3 linked regions of the Callithrix jacchus genome follow. The protein of the gene in region 2 purifies or fractionates together with the protein of the main gene of each other region. This does not show direct contact. Links are inferred from orthologs where the notes say so. Each region holds a gene or a part of one and is shown on either strand. Other genes may lie near its edges. The genes, in order: CEP97, KIF24 and CCP110.

Evidence for each region.
Region 1: the proteins of KIF24 (region 2) and CEP97 purify together in Homo sapiens (co-immunoprecipitation; 4 studies listed by BioGRID and IntAct, with this or other methods). This does not show direct contact. The link is inferred for Callithrix jacchus from reciprocal best matches to the Homo sapiens genes KIF24 and CEP97.
Region 3: the proteins of KIF24 (region 2) and CCP110 purify together in Homo sapiens (co-immunoprecipitation; 4 studies listed by BioGRID and IntAct, with this or other methods). This does not show direct contact. The link is inferred for Callithrix jacchus from reciprocal best matches to the Homo sapiens genes KIF24 and CCP110.

What each region holds. Positions count from the first base shown.
Region 1 is NC_133516.1:92,972,250-92,975,900, reverse strand, and holds part of CEP97 (centrosomal protein of 97 kDa), read right to left. Parts: intron 2,905-3,651; coding exon 2,791-2,904; intron 2,244-2,790; coding exon 2,077-2,243; intron 1-2,076. UniProt on the Homo sapiens protein: Acts as a key negative regulator of ciliogenesis in collaboration with CCP110 by capping the mother centriole thereby preventing cilia formation. Required for recruitment of CCP110 to the centrosome.
Region 2 is NC_133502.1:141,211,455-141,215,767, forward strand, and holds the start of KIF24 (kinesin-like protein KIF24), read right to left. Parts: upstream 2,928-4,313; 5' UTR 2,599-2,927; intron 1-2,598. UniProt on the Homo sapiens protein: Microtubule-dependent motor protein that acts as a negative regulator of ciliogenesis by mediating recruitment of CCP110 to mother centriole in cycling cells, leading to restrict nucleation of cilia at centrioles.
Region 3 is NC_133513.1:20,939,893-20,943,543, forward strand, and holds part of CCP110 (centriolar coiled-coil protein of 110 kDa), read left to right. Parts: coding exon 1-87; intron 88-3,332; coding exon 3,333-3,461; intron 3,462-3,651.

The sequences.
Region 1 (3,651 bases), on a different chromosome or scaffold from region 2:
ATCCTAACATCCATGAAAGCTAGATAGTACTGCTATTCACATTTTACAGATGAGGAAACTGGCTCAGAAAGCACTAAGGAACCTGACAAGGCCACAAAGCTAACAGGTAGCAGAGAAAGAAGTGAAGCCTTCCCTTGTCTCTCCTAACCAGGTCTCACCTCTCTTTGTGGGTCTCTCTTCACATCAAACCTTTATCTCTGCCCACATCACCATGCTGCCTCTCAGACATGAAAATGTTGCCAGTCCTACTCCCATAGAAAAAGTCAACAACTGTGGAGAGGATAATCCAAGTAGACCTATATTCCAGATCGAGAACTAGTCACAGTTTGAAACAAAGTAAGGTTTACTCTCAGAGCAACACTCACAGCAGAAAAAAGAAAAAGCCACCCTTTCTTGTAGGCAAACTAGACCTGACATGTCCCTCACCCTACACCAGCACCACCACAATCTAGCACCTGGCTGCCATTCCTCACAGCCCCTGCTTTACTCAGAAACTAAGCAAAACGGCAGAGAGACAGAGAATAGAGATGCTGTCTGTAATCTACAACCCATCCTCCCATCAGGAAACTCTTCAAATAACTATAGTCCATAGTAGAGAAGAACAAAAATGGTGAGGGAGTATGTATGTGTTGAGTCCATGAATGCATGCGTGAATGTACTGAGAGGAAAAAGTGAAATGAAACATAGTAGAGAGAATAAAGTAATCTCAACTCTCACTATCCCAATTCCACTCCATCTTTCCCATATCCTAGTTCCTTACCTCCCCTGAAGCTCTGATTCCACTGATCATGTGTCAGGATCCAGAAGACTCCATTCTGCAGGAGTCCCAGATCCAAGCCACAGAAACTATCAATGATCTACAGATCGGGAATTCTCACTTCTGCCACTTCACAGGTATAAGAAGGGGAGGACCTGGCCAGGTGCGGTGGCTCATGCCTATAATCCCAGCACTTTGGGATGCCAAGGCAGGCAGACCACCTGAGGGCAGGAGTTCGGAGACCAGCCTGACTAACATGAAGAAACCCATCTCTACTAAAAATACAAAATTAGCCAGGCCTGGTGGTGCATACCTGTAATCCCAGCTACTCAGGAGGCTGAGGCAGGAGAATCACTTGAACCCAGGAGGTGGAGATTGTGGTGAGCCAAGACTGTGCCATTGTACTCCAATGGCACAACTGCCTGGGCAACAAGAGCGAAACTCCATCTCAAAAAAAAAAAGCAGGGGAGAGGACCAATCACCATGTATGCTACCAGTTCCAAATTAAAACTCTGCATTTTCCCAGAATTACCATTATAATGAGTATTTGGAGAATTCGAAGATATGACTAATACTGCCCTATGTGACTTGGCGTTAGATGATAAATAGAAAATAAAATGAATAAAAATACGGCCCTGGTAGATTAATAGATCACAGCTTTTGTGACAATGATCTGAGACCCTACATAGGTTCTAAAACATGATGGTTTCTATGCAAAAGTGTTCCAAGCTCCAAACAACTGATTAACAAAAGAACTTTTAGAAATCAAATTGTTGTATGTAGGGCACTAAGACTACTAGCTCCAACCTCCGGGGCTAAGATTTCTTTTCTTTTTTTTGTCAGAGATAGAGTATCTGTCTGTCACCCAAGGTAGAGTGCAATGGCACAACCATAACTCACTGCAACTTTAAATTCCTGGGCTCAAGCAATCCTCCCACCTCAGCTTCCTAAGTAGCTAGGACTACAGATGTGTACCACCATGCCCAGCTAATTATTATTTTTTTTTTTTAGAGATGCAGTCTCCCTGTATTGCCCAGGCTGGTCTCAAACTCCTGGGCTCAAGCGATCCTCCTGCCTCGGCTTTCTAAAGCGTGAGGATTACAAGCATGAGCCACTGCACCGGGCCAATATTGATTTCTTATCCTTTTTTAGAAATGACAGAAAATCCTAAGTGACCAGCACATAGTCTGCTATATGACTACAGTAATACTCTTAATTTCTAAATGCACATATGAAGAAATACTACTCTATTAATCTGTAGTAAACTAGAAATGGTCTTTCAGTAACATTTGTCATGTTGTTAAAGAGGGCATGTTCACCTTTCCTTCTGAGAAATCACATATCCATCTAGGACTCTGAGGTTTAAGCACCAGCTGACGATGTACGGCCGATAGTCAAATCCTGGGATGGAAGGTGCTGCCATCACACAAGGATTGTTCATAATCGACAACTGCTCCAATTCAGTTAAGGATGCCAGAAAAGAGATCTGGAACAAAAGATAACTTTGTTGAACAAAAGGACTATTCAGTGTCAAGCGCAAGCTTTCCACTGATTACACATCTTTGGCAGCATTTGAGAATGTGATAATTTCCCTCTTGTTCTGAAAAGTCACAAGTACCCACTGACTTCCAAAATTTCAACAATATAGCCATCCGTCCCTGCTGCACAAAATCCCTTAGCAAGTATCAGCACAGTTTCCTAGCAGAAAGAACCCTATTTTGAAAACATCACAGCAGCCAGGAAAGTTGGACAGGGAGTCGTATAAACCCTTATGAGGCAGATGTCCCTCTACCACCAATCACTTCCCAATGGAATGATAATTACAACTTTCCAAAGGAAATTAGATCTTAATGACCCACTGACACTAAGGAAAAGTGGAAAGAAAACTAACGATCATCTAGAGGCAAACACTTCATCTGAAGGGAACTTTCTTCTAAGCTGTTCACAATCTAAAAGCAAGCTCACAACCCTCTCCAGTGTCTTTCCTGGACTTTCCAGCTTCCTGAATCTCACAAAATACCCTCAAATTTTACCTCATTTAAGTCTCGGATTTCATTTTCTGCCAAAGAAAGTATAGCAAGACTTCTGGGTAGGTAAGCAGGTGCCATTCTAAGAGAGGTGATGATGTTTCCATGTAAAAGCAGGGTCTTGAAAGTAAAAACAGTATGAATTACAAATAAAAAGATTACAAATAAATTGGCCTATTGTGACAACACCAAAATGGCAAATGTAAGAATAAAAGAATCTACTTTATTATATTTCTCATCACACAAATCAGAGACTGTTAATGCTAGAAGGGTCCTTGATGTTCTTCTGGTCCAACTCTCTGTTTCCGTACCAGCATCCTAAGCCCCAGATACTTTAAAGATTTGCCTTAAAACACATTGTTGGCATGGCAACTAGGCATGCTATGAGATTTACGTTATGAGACACTGAGCAATTTCTAACATACTTGTTCAGTTTCTTTTAAAATATCAAAATAGAGGCCACATGTGGTGGCTCTTGCCTATAATCCCAGCATTGCGGGAGGCCAAGGAGGGAAGACCGCTTGAGCCCAGGAGTTTGAGACCAGCCTGGGCAACATTAGTGAGACCTTTTCCCTACTAAAAATCAAAAAATTAGCCAGGCATGATGGGGTGCACCTGTAGTCCCAGCTACTAGGGAGTGCTGAGGTAGGAGGATCGCTTGGGACCAGGAGGCTGAGGCTGCAGTAAGCCATGATTGCACCACTGCACTCAAGCCTGGGTGACAGCAAGACTCTGGTGTCTCAAGTTAAAAAAAAAAAAAAGGCATAAAAACAACCACATATAAAGTAAATTTTCTAAAAAAGAGAGCGATAACCTACAACCCATATTTGCAACTGTATTCTCTAGGTAACTAAAAACTAGAGGAAG
Region 2 (4,313 bases):
TTTTAAGTGGAAAAAGCATACGATATGATACATATCTTTAAAGTTTACTCTGTCGGTTCTGTAAGAAATGGATCATAGGAGGCAGGCAAAAGTGGAAAGAGGGAAATCATTTAGGAAGCTACTACATTGAATCGACAAAAAAAAAATGCTGCTGACTTGGAAAAAATGTTCCTTTCATGAGAGTTAATTGGAATAATGTAAATTCACTGCTAACTTCAATGACTGATAAACACTCAACAATATACTATTATTATTAGTGTATACCGATAGAAAACTCTTCTTATTCAACACGATGTGAACATCAAAACCCTTAAGACAGTAGCTTGAGAAGTATACAATGACCACACACTCAAAGTTTAAGAAGTTGAACTCTTATTATTTATTTAACAAAATTTATTGAGGATCTATACCATTCAAATTATAAACTGGTTTGCTGAGCCAGCATGGGGGAATGGGATTAATAGATTAATCTTCATAGAACACTAGATCTGGTAGGGATCTAGAAGAGTTCAGCCCATCACTTTGCAAACAACAAAATAGCAGCCCAGAGAAAGACACTGGTTTCTCCTAAACTACAAAGTGAGAAAATCATACCCTCGGTTGCCCCAAGGACACATTTTGAATAGCTAAAGATTTTCATTAACAATATAAAACCAGCTGGGCACAGTGGCTCATGCCTGTAATCCCAGCACTTTCAGAGGCTGAGGCGGGTGGATCATGACCAACCTGACTAAGACAGTGAAATCCCGTCTCTACTAAAAATACAAAAATTAGCCAGGTGTGGTGGCAGGTGCCTGTAATCCCAGCTACCCTGGGGGCTGAACCAGGAGAATCACTTGAACCTAGGAGGCAGAGGTTGCAGTGAGCCGCTATCACCCACTGCACTCCAGCCTGGGCGACAGAATAAAACTCTGTCTTGAAAAACAAACAAACAAAACACCATAAAACCAAAAGTTTTAAATAAAATGCTATCTCAGTATGTTAATGTGCTATACTAAGAAAAATGTAACATGTATATAAAGCCCTTGATACAGTGCTTCGTATGGGGTAAACGCTCAATAAATGGCAACTACTACTTTCAGCTGCTTTAAAAAAGACTGTATGGTCTTTGGAAGGCTTACAGCGTGTGGTCCACCTGACATCAACTACTTGACTTAATAGTAGAGCCACAAGAATTTTAATCTAATTCAATTATTTGATTTTCCAGATGGAAAAAGTGAGGTTTAAAGGGGCTCCTTGAATTCAGGAGTTCAAGGCTGTGGTGAGCTATGCTCATGTTACTGCACTACAGCCTGGGTGACAGAGCAAGACCTTGTCTCTAAAAAATAAATAATAAATAATAACAATAATAAAGGAACGAAATGACTTGCAAAGCCACCCACAGTGAATTAGTTAAGAGACAGAGCCAAAGCCAAACCCTAAATTTCCAGTCTGGTTTCCACTACATGTCACAGATCTGCAGTTTAGCTATAAGGTAGTGTTTCAAACTTTCATAAAATGGTAACAAGAACATAGCTGCTGTACTTAACTTTCTCACTCCTTTTATTAAAACTGCCAGTGAGCTATGAATTTGATATAAGGAAGAATCCCACCAACAGTCAAGCTCTGAATATATAATCCATGAGTTAACAACCAAGCAGCAATTCTATCATGGACACCTGATGAATAGATGGGCACCTGAGCAGCTGTTATATGCGCTTAAATAGACTACAAAGCCTCTCTACTTGTAGAATATAAATACAAAGAAGATGCTTTAAAACATTTTCCAAAGCACATTTAAAATGTGCTGCCGGTCACTAAGAGGCTAAAGTGAGATAAATTCTCTTGGCATACAGCAACAGAATGGTTTGTTTTAAGCAAAGACTAAAAGGAGTCTAATAAAATTATTGGGAGACCAAGGCTAAAAGCCACAAATGCAGGAAAAGTTGTAGCAACCAATCCAAAAAAGTTTAGCCTCTCACAAAGAGTAGAAAGGCCAACTGTGGACGGTGGACTTTTAGGTCCTTTTGCATATAAAATTAGGTTGCCCTCCCCCTCCCCTTGAAATAAAAAAATCGTCTCTGAAGGGGAGAGACAACGAGACAGGGCACGAAGAGGAATCCAGTCTGTTTCTTGTAAATTAAATTCAACTCAACAAATACTTCCTGAAAACCTACTATGTGCAAGACATCGTGAACGATGCTTGCCTTACCTCAAAGCCTTCAAAACTGTATGAGATAAGGGAAGAGAATGTGCTTCCCGGAAGTACACACTTCCGAATAGAAGCACATTCTCCAAGGCCGAATAGAAGCGCCTTAGAGAGGTGCCGGTCAAGGTTATGAGTTCAAAAGCAAGAGGACTCTGGGACTCAAGAATTTCGAGTCTTCCAAAGTGAGAGAAGTGGCGTTTAAGATGAATGCTAAAGAAAAGGCAGAGATATGGGGCTGAAAGGTAGGAGAGTAGGTGAACTTTCGTAAGAACCAAGAGAGGCCAACTCCCTGTTCCGTCACAACTGCGTTTCCTCCCGCGCTCAGCGGACTTCACGCGCACCCCGCGCGGGCCGGCGCCGCGGCTCCGGACCAGGCCTGCCCCTCCTCTATTCTCTCCGCCCTTTCTCACCTCGGTCCAAACTCTTCGATCGGCCCTGTCTGAGAATGCCGTCGGGAGTAAGCCCCAAGGCCCGCAACCTAACAGGTCTGTTAAGCAGCTAGCCACCACCTGCGGCCAGGCCGCATCTCCATGGCAACGCCGCCAAGCACCAGTTCGAACGCCCGCGCTAGGGCCTGCGCGTCTGCAGTCCCGAACCGCCCACCAATGGGCATCCAAAGAATCGGTTAGCGTTCCTGGACTTTTCCTCTAAAAGACCAATCAGAGGACCTAAGAAACAGTAGGCGTAACTCTCAATTTCCGACCTTCGGCCAATCGTTCCACTTGAGTGAAGATCTCGCGACGTTCTCAGTGTGAGACGGCACCTTTAAGGCAGGCCGAAGATCCTTCTCCCAAATTCTATTGGTGGTCCCAAGCGTAACCGAGCTCTTCTGATTGGCGAGTGTACTTCCAGTTTCCTTTCAAGGCCCGCCTCCAGCCTCCGTCTGCTTCGGGTAAGTAGCCTTTGGGCCCACTTGAATTTAGTTTTCAGTGGAGGAAATGATCCTCGGAGCGATGAGAATCTGCCTCTGGCAAACCTCCGGTCGCTGCAGGGCCTGAGGTGGATGCGCCCTCCTCCAAGCTGGCAGTGAGGTGTGGGCAGGCCAGGTCCCATCCGCTCGCAGGACCTCAATTTTTTTGACTGCACCGGGAGAAGGGAGGTTCCCTAACCTTGTGAGCCTTGCTTGCCCGGGTCCGAGTGGGTATGAGGTAGGTTATCCGAATCCCAGAGGCGAGAGAGGTGCAAATTTAGGGCCCAGACGCCGGGGCGCCGAACCTTCCCCTCCCTGGGCCTCAATTTCACTTTGTTGTTACCCATTAAAACCCGCCTGCTTTCCAAAAGAGATTTTATGTCTTCTAATTGCTTCAATTATTGAATGGATAATATCGTGCCAGTTATCGCAGAAGTAAAGAAGGTCTCACGAGAGCCCCACCTCCTTAAAAAAAAAGTGGCAGCTTAAACTGAATGCAATCAAATTGTCAAATGTAAAAGGTTATTATTATAAAGTCGAGGTTAAGATCATTGATGTTAGAAGTCAGGCCGACCTACATTTGAGTCACTACCCAGATATCTCTGAGCCATAGTTCCCTTTCTATTCTTCTGAAAAATGGCAGTAATGCCTCAGCGGGTTGTTGTGAAGATTTTTTTTTTTTGAGTCGGAGTTTCCCTCTGTCACCCAGGCTGGAGTTCAGTGGCGCGATCTCGGCTTGAACCCGCCTCCCGGGTTCAAGCGATTCTCCTGCCTTAGCCTCCCAAGTAGCTGGGATTACAGGCACAGGCCACCACGCCTGGCTAATTTTTGTGTTTAGTAGAGATGGAGTTTCACCATGTTGGTAAGGCTGGTCTTGAACTCCAGACCTCGTGATCCACCCGCCTCGGCCTCCCAAAGTGGTAGGATTGCAGGCATGAACCACCGCGCCCGGCCCTGTTGTGAAGATTAAGTGAAATAATGAAGGTAACACACTTGACCCACGCCTGGCAAGTAGTAACTTCTCAAAAAATGACAGCAATTTTCCTTATAATAAATAAGAGCAGGCAAATATAGTCAGTGGGTTGGTGTACTTATTGTAATTGAGTACCCAAATTTGCTCAAAATTAGTTAAGGGAAAAAAGGCAATTCTTACCAATAAGGAAACATCCATTCTTAAGATTAATTATTTTTCTAGTTTCTATATTAAAAGGAATT
Region 3 (3,651 bases), on a different chromosome or scaffold from region 2:
TCAATATCCACAGAGAGCTTTCTTCCTGCTCAGTCTGAAAGTATCTCACTTATTCGCTTTCATGGAGCAGCTATCCTTTCTCCACTGGTAAACTTTGTTTGTTTTTAAATAGTTTTTTTTCTGTAGTGAACAAGTAAAGCATTTTGTGAAAAAAACAAAAGAAAGGCTTGTAAACATTTGAAGAGATGCCCTTATTCATAATTAGAGAAATAAAAATAAATTAGCATTTTTTACTTACTATTGTAGATTGGCAAAGAGCTAATAGAACCTTGTGTTCCTTAGATTGTGGAAAATGCACTTTTAATGCACTTTTGCTGAGAGAAACTGTTTATTTTTAGGTGAGCAGTTTGGTAGAATCTAAAAGCATACATAGCCTTTGACTCAGTAGTTCCATGGTATATCCTATGTGTGAGCCCAAAGAAATAAGTACAAGATTACATTAGCATTGTTTAAAATAACAAAGGTTGACAAACAACTTAAATGTCCATCAGTAGTGAAGTAGTTTAACTGTGGTCCATTTTATAAAATCTCATACATACCATTAGAGTGAGTAAGGAGATCTAAATGTTGAGACATGGAAGGATCTCCATGATCTAGTGTAAAACACTGTGCAGCATGCTGTTGGGGCAGCATAGAGTAATAGAGCTCCAGGCTTTGGGCCAGGCACAGTTGCTCATACCTGTAGTCCCAATGCTTTGAGAGGCTGGAGGGAGGAGGATTGCTTGAGACCAGGAATTTAAGACTAGCCTGGTCAACATAGCAAGACCTCAGCACTACAAAAACAATTATTTAAAAAAAATTAGCCAAGCGCAGTGACATGTGCCTGTAGTCCCAGCTACTTGAAAGCTAAGGTGGAAGGATTGCTTGAACCTAGGACTTCCAGGTTGCCATGAGCCAGGACTGCATCACTGCACTCTAGCCTGGGCTACAGGGCAAGACCTGGTCCTGAAAGAAGGAAAAAAAGCCTAGGCTCTGGAACCTTCTGGCCTGGGTCTAAATCATTGTTTTGCTACTTACTTGCTATGTAAACTTGTGGTCCATTTTCTTATTTGTTAAATGGAGATAAAATCGTGCCTACCTAATAAGTCTGTTTTGGAGATGAAATGAATTTGTAGATACAAAATGGTTAGAATACTACCTGGATCATAAGAGGTACCCAATATAAGTTAATCATTTGGGTGTTTTAAAAGATGGCTATTCCTTTTCCAGGGAGTGGTGAGAGAATATAGTAGGGAAGACACTTCATCATATACCCTTTAATACTAATTTAATATTTTAAAATGGTACATGATTTTATTTTAAATTACAAACTAATATTAGAAAAAAATAAGCTTTAAATTTATTTTTTGGTATAATAGGAGTTAAGAGATAATTTTATTTTAATTAATTTAATTGAATTTTTGAAGAGGCCAGAGCTAACTGCCAGCATAGCAAAGTTGAAAGGATATGCAATGACCACCCATAGATTTACCATTTGATTAAATAATTTTTAACATTTTTGTCATCTTTGCTTTATTGTTTGTGATTTTTATATACACGTATGTGTGTGTGTACATACATACATACAGACATTTTTCAAAATTGCCTAGCCATTTGAAAACCACTGAGACCTGACGCGGCTTCCCTAAATATTTTGATATACACTTAAAAATAAGGACATTTTTCTATTAAAACCTAATACCATTATCACATCTTAGGAAAATTAATAATTTTTAATAACATCTAATAATTCTGTTCATATTTAAAATTTTCCATTTGTGCTTAAAATGCCTTTTATAACTTTATTCCCCCAATCTGGATCTAAAGTTCACGATTAGTATTTGCTTGTTATGTTTTTTTATTTTAATCTAGAACAGCTCCTCTACATCTTAAACATAATATTTTTTATTGGCTAGGCATGGTGCTTCATGCCTGTAATCCCAGCACTTTGGGAGGCCAAGGCAGGCAGATCCCAAGGTCAAGAGCTCGAGACCATCCTAGCCAACATGGTGAAACCCTGTCTCTACTAAAAATATGAAACTTAACTGGGCGTGGTGGCATGCACCTGTAATCCCAGCTACTTGGGAGGCTGAGGCAGGAGAATCGCTTGAACCCAGATGGCGGAGGTTGCAGTGAGCCAAGATTGCATCACTGCATTCCAGCTTGGCAACAGAGTGAGACTGTCTCAAAAAAAAAAAGGAATTCTTTGGAGATGATGCCCTGTATCCTTTGTATTAAATTAAATCAGAAGTTACGTAATGTTTGGTTGTCCTCTATTAGTGATGTTTAGTTTGAACACTTGCTTACAGTAGTGACTACCAGATGGCTCTTTAAAGTACACATTTTCTCCTTTTGATTAGCAAGTAAACTGTGTAATTAGGAAAAAATTTTAAAACCACATATTTATCAGCTATTTGATAACATTGCTTAATGTTATCAAATGGACCAAATGTCTGAGGCTTGTTGTATAGGGTCTATGACTCCATCTGTTATTTATTTATAAGCAAAATATGATGTTTATGGACCTAATCCATACTTTTATGTTGTATATGATAGATGAATATTGCAACTTTTGAAATAATCTTTTAATGATATATTTTCTATTTGTGTAAGTCTACGATAAATCTTGACTCTTAACGCAGTGACCCAATTTCCCAGGACTTAATAATTAAGATTGAAATCCATTATAAAAAGATACAATGCTTAGAAGCCTTCATTTTTTTAGGTACATTAAATTTTTATTGGAAGGTAGAGATAAAAGAAAAGATGTATTCTGATTTTGTAGGCAAATAATATATTATCTGTTTCTTTTATCATTAAACCTTTGGACATTTTTTTTTTTTTGAGGCAGCAAAGAGGTAAAATGTGTACTGGTTAGAAAATTAGAACTTGTAGAATTCATTTGACCTAGTGAAGTACTTAATGTGAAGAAATATTCAAGTCAATATTCAAATGAAGTAATGAAAAACTCAGCAGTGGCCGAAAGGGCTTTAATTGTATTTCTGTCATTTTAGAACATTTGATCAGTGAACAAACTTTTTTGCTTTTTAATTTTTTTTCAATTCAAAATAATTTACATATAGCAAAATGCACAGATCTTAAGTGTTAAAGTTCCCTGAGTTTTTATATATGGCATACACCTGTATAACTCAAACTCACACAGGATATTTTCTTCACCATGGAAAGATCTCTAATGCCCCATCCCACTCAGAAGCCCAACCACTGTTCTTATTTCTTTCACTATAGATTAGTTTTGCCTGTTGCACATGTTTTTAATCTTTCTGATTCAGAACTTCCCGATTTTATGATATTTTTATTATGGGAAATAATTACATTTTTATGATGTTTTGCAGCTTAACATTGAAAAAAGAAAGGAAATGCAACAAGAAAAGCAGAAAGCACTTGATATAGAAGCAAGAAAGCAGGTTAACAGGAAGAAAGCTTTACTGACTCGTGTCCAGGAGATTCTTGACAATGTTCAGGTGTGTGATTTAAAGAAATCATAAGATAAGTATTGATGATAATTTTTCAGAAATATCAGTTGTACTTAACTAATTATTAATGTACTTGACTGTTATGTTTGAGAAGCTTCATAATTTGTGATTTTCCATTTCAGTTACTCCAAAGAGTAAGTACTTGCTTGTTAGTGATGCCCAGTACTTGAATCAGAGG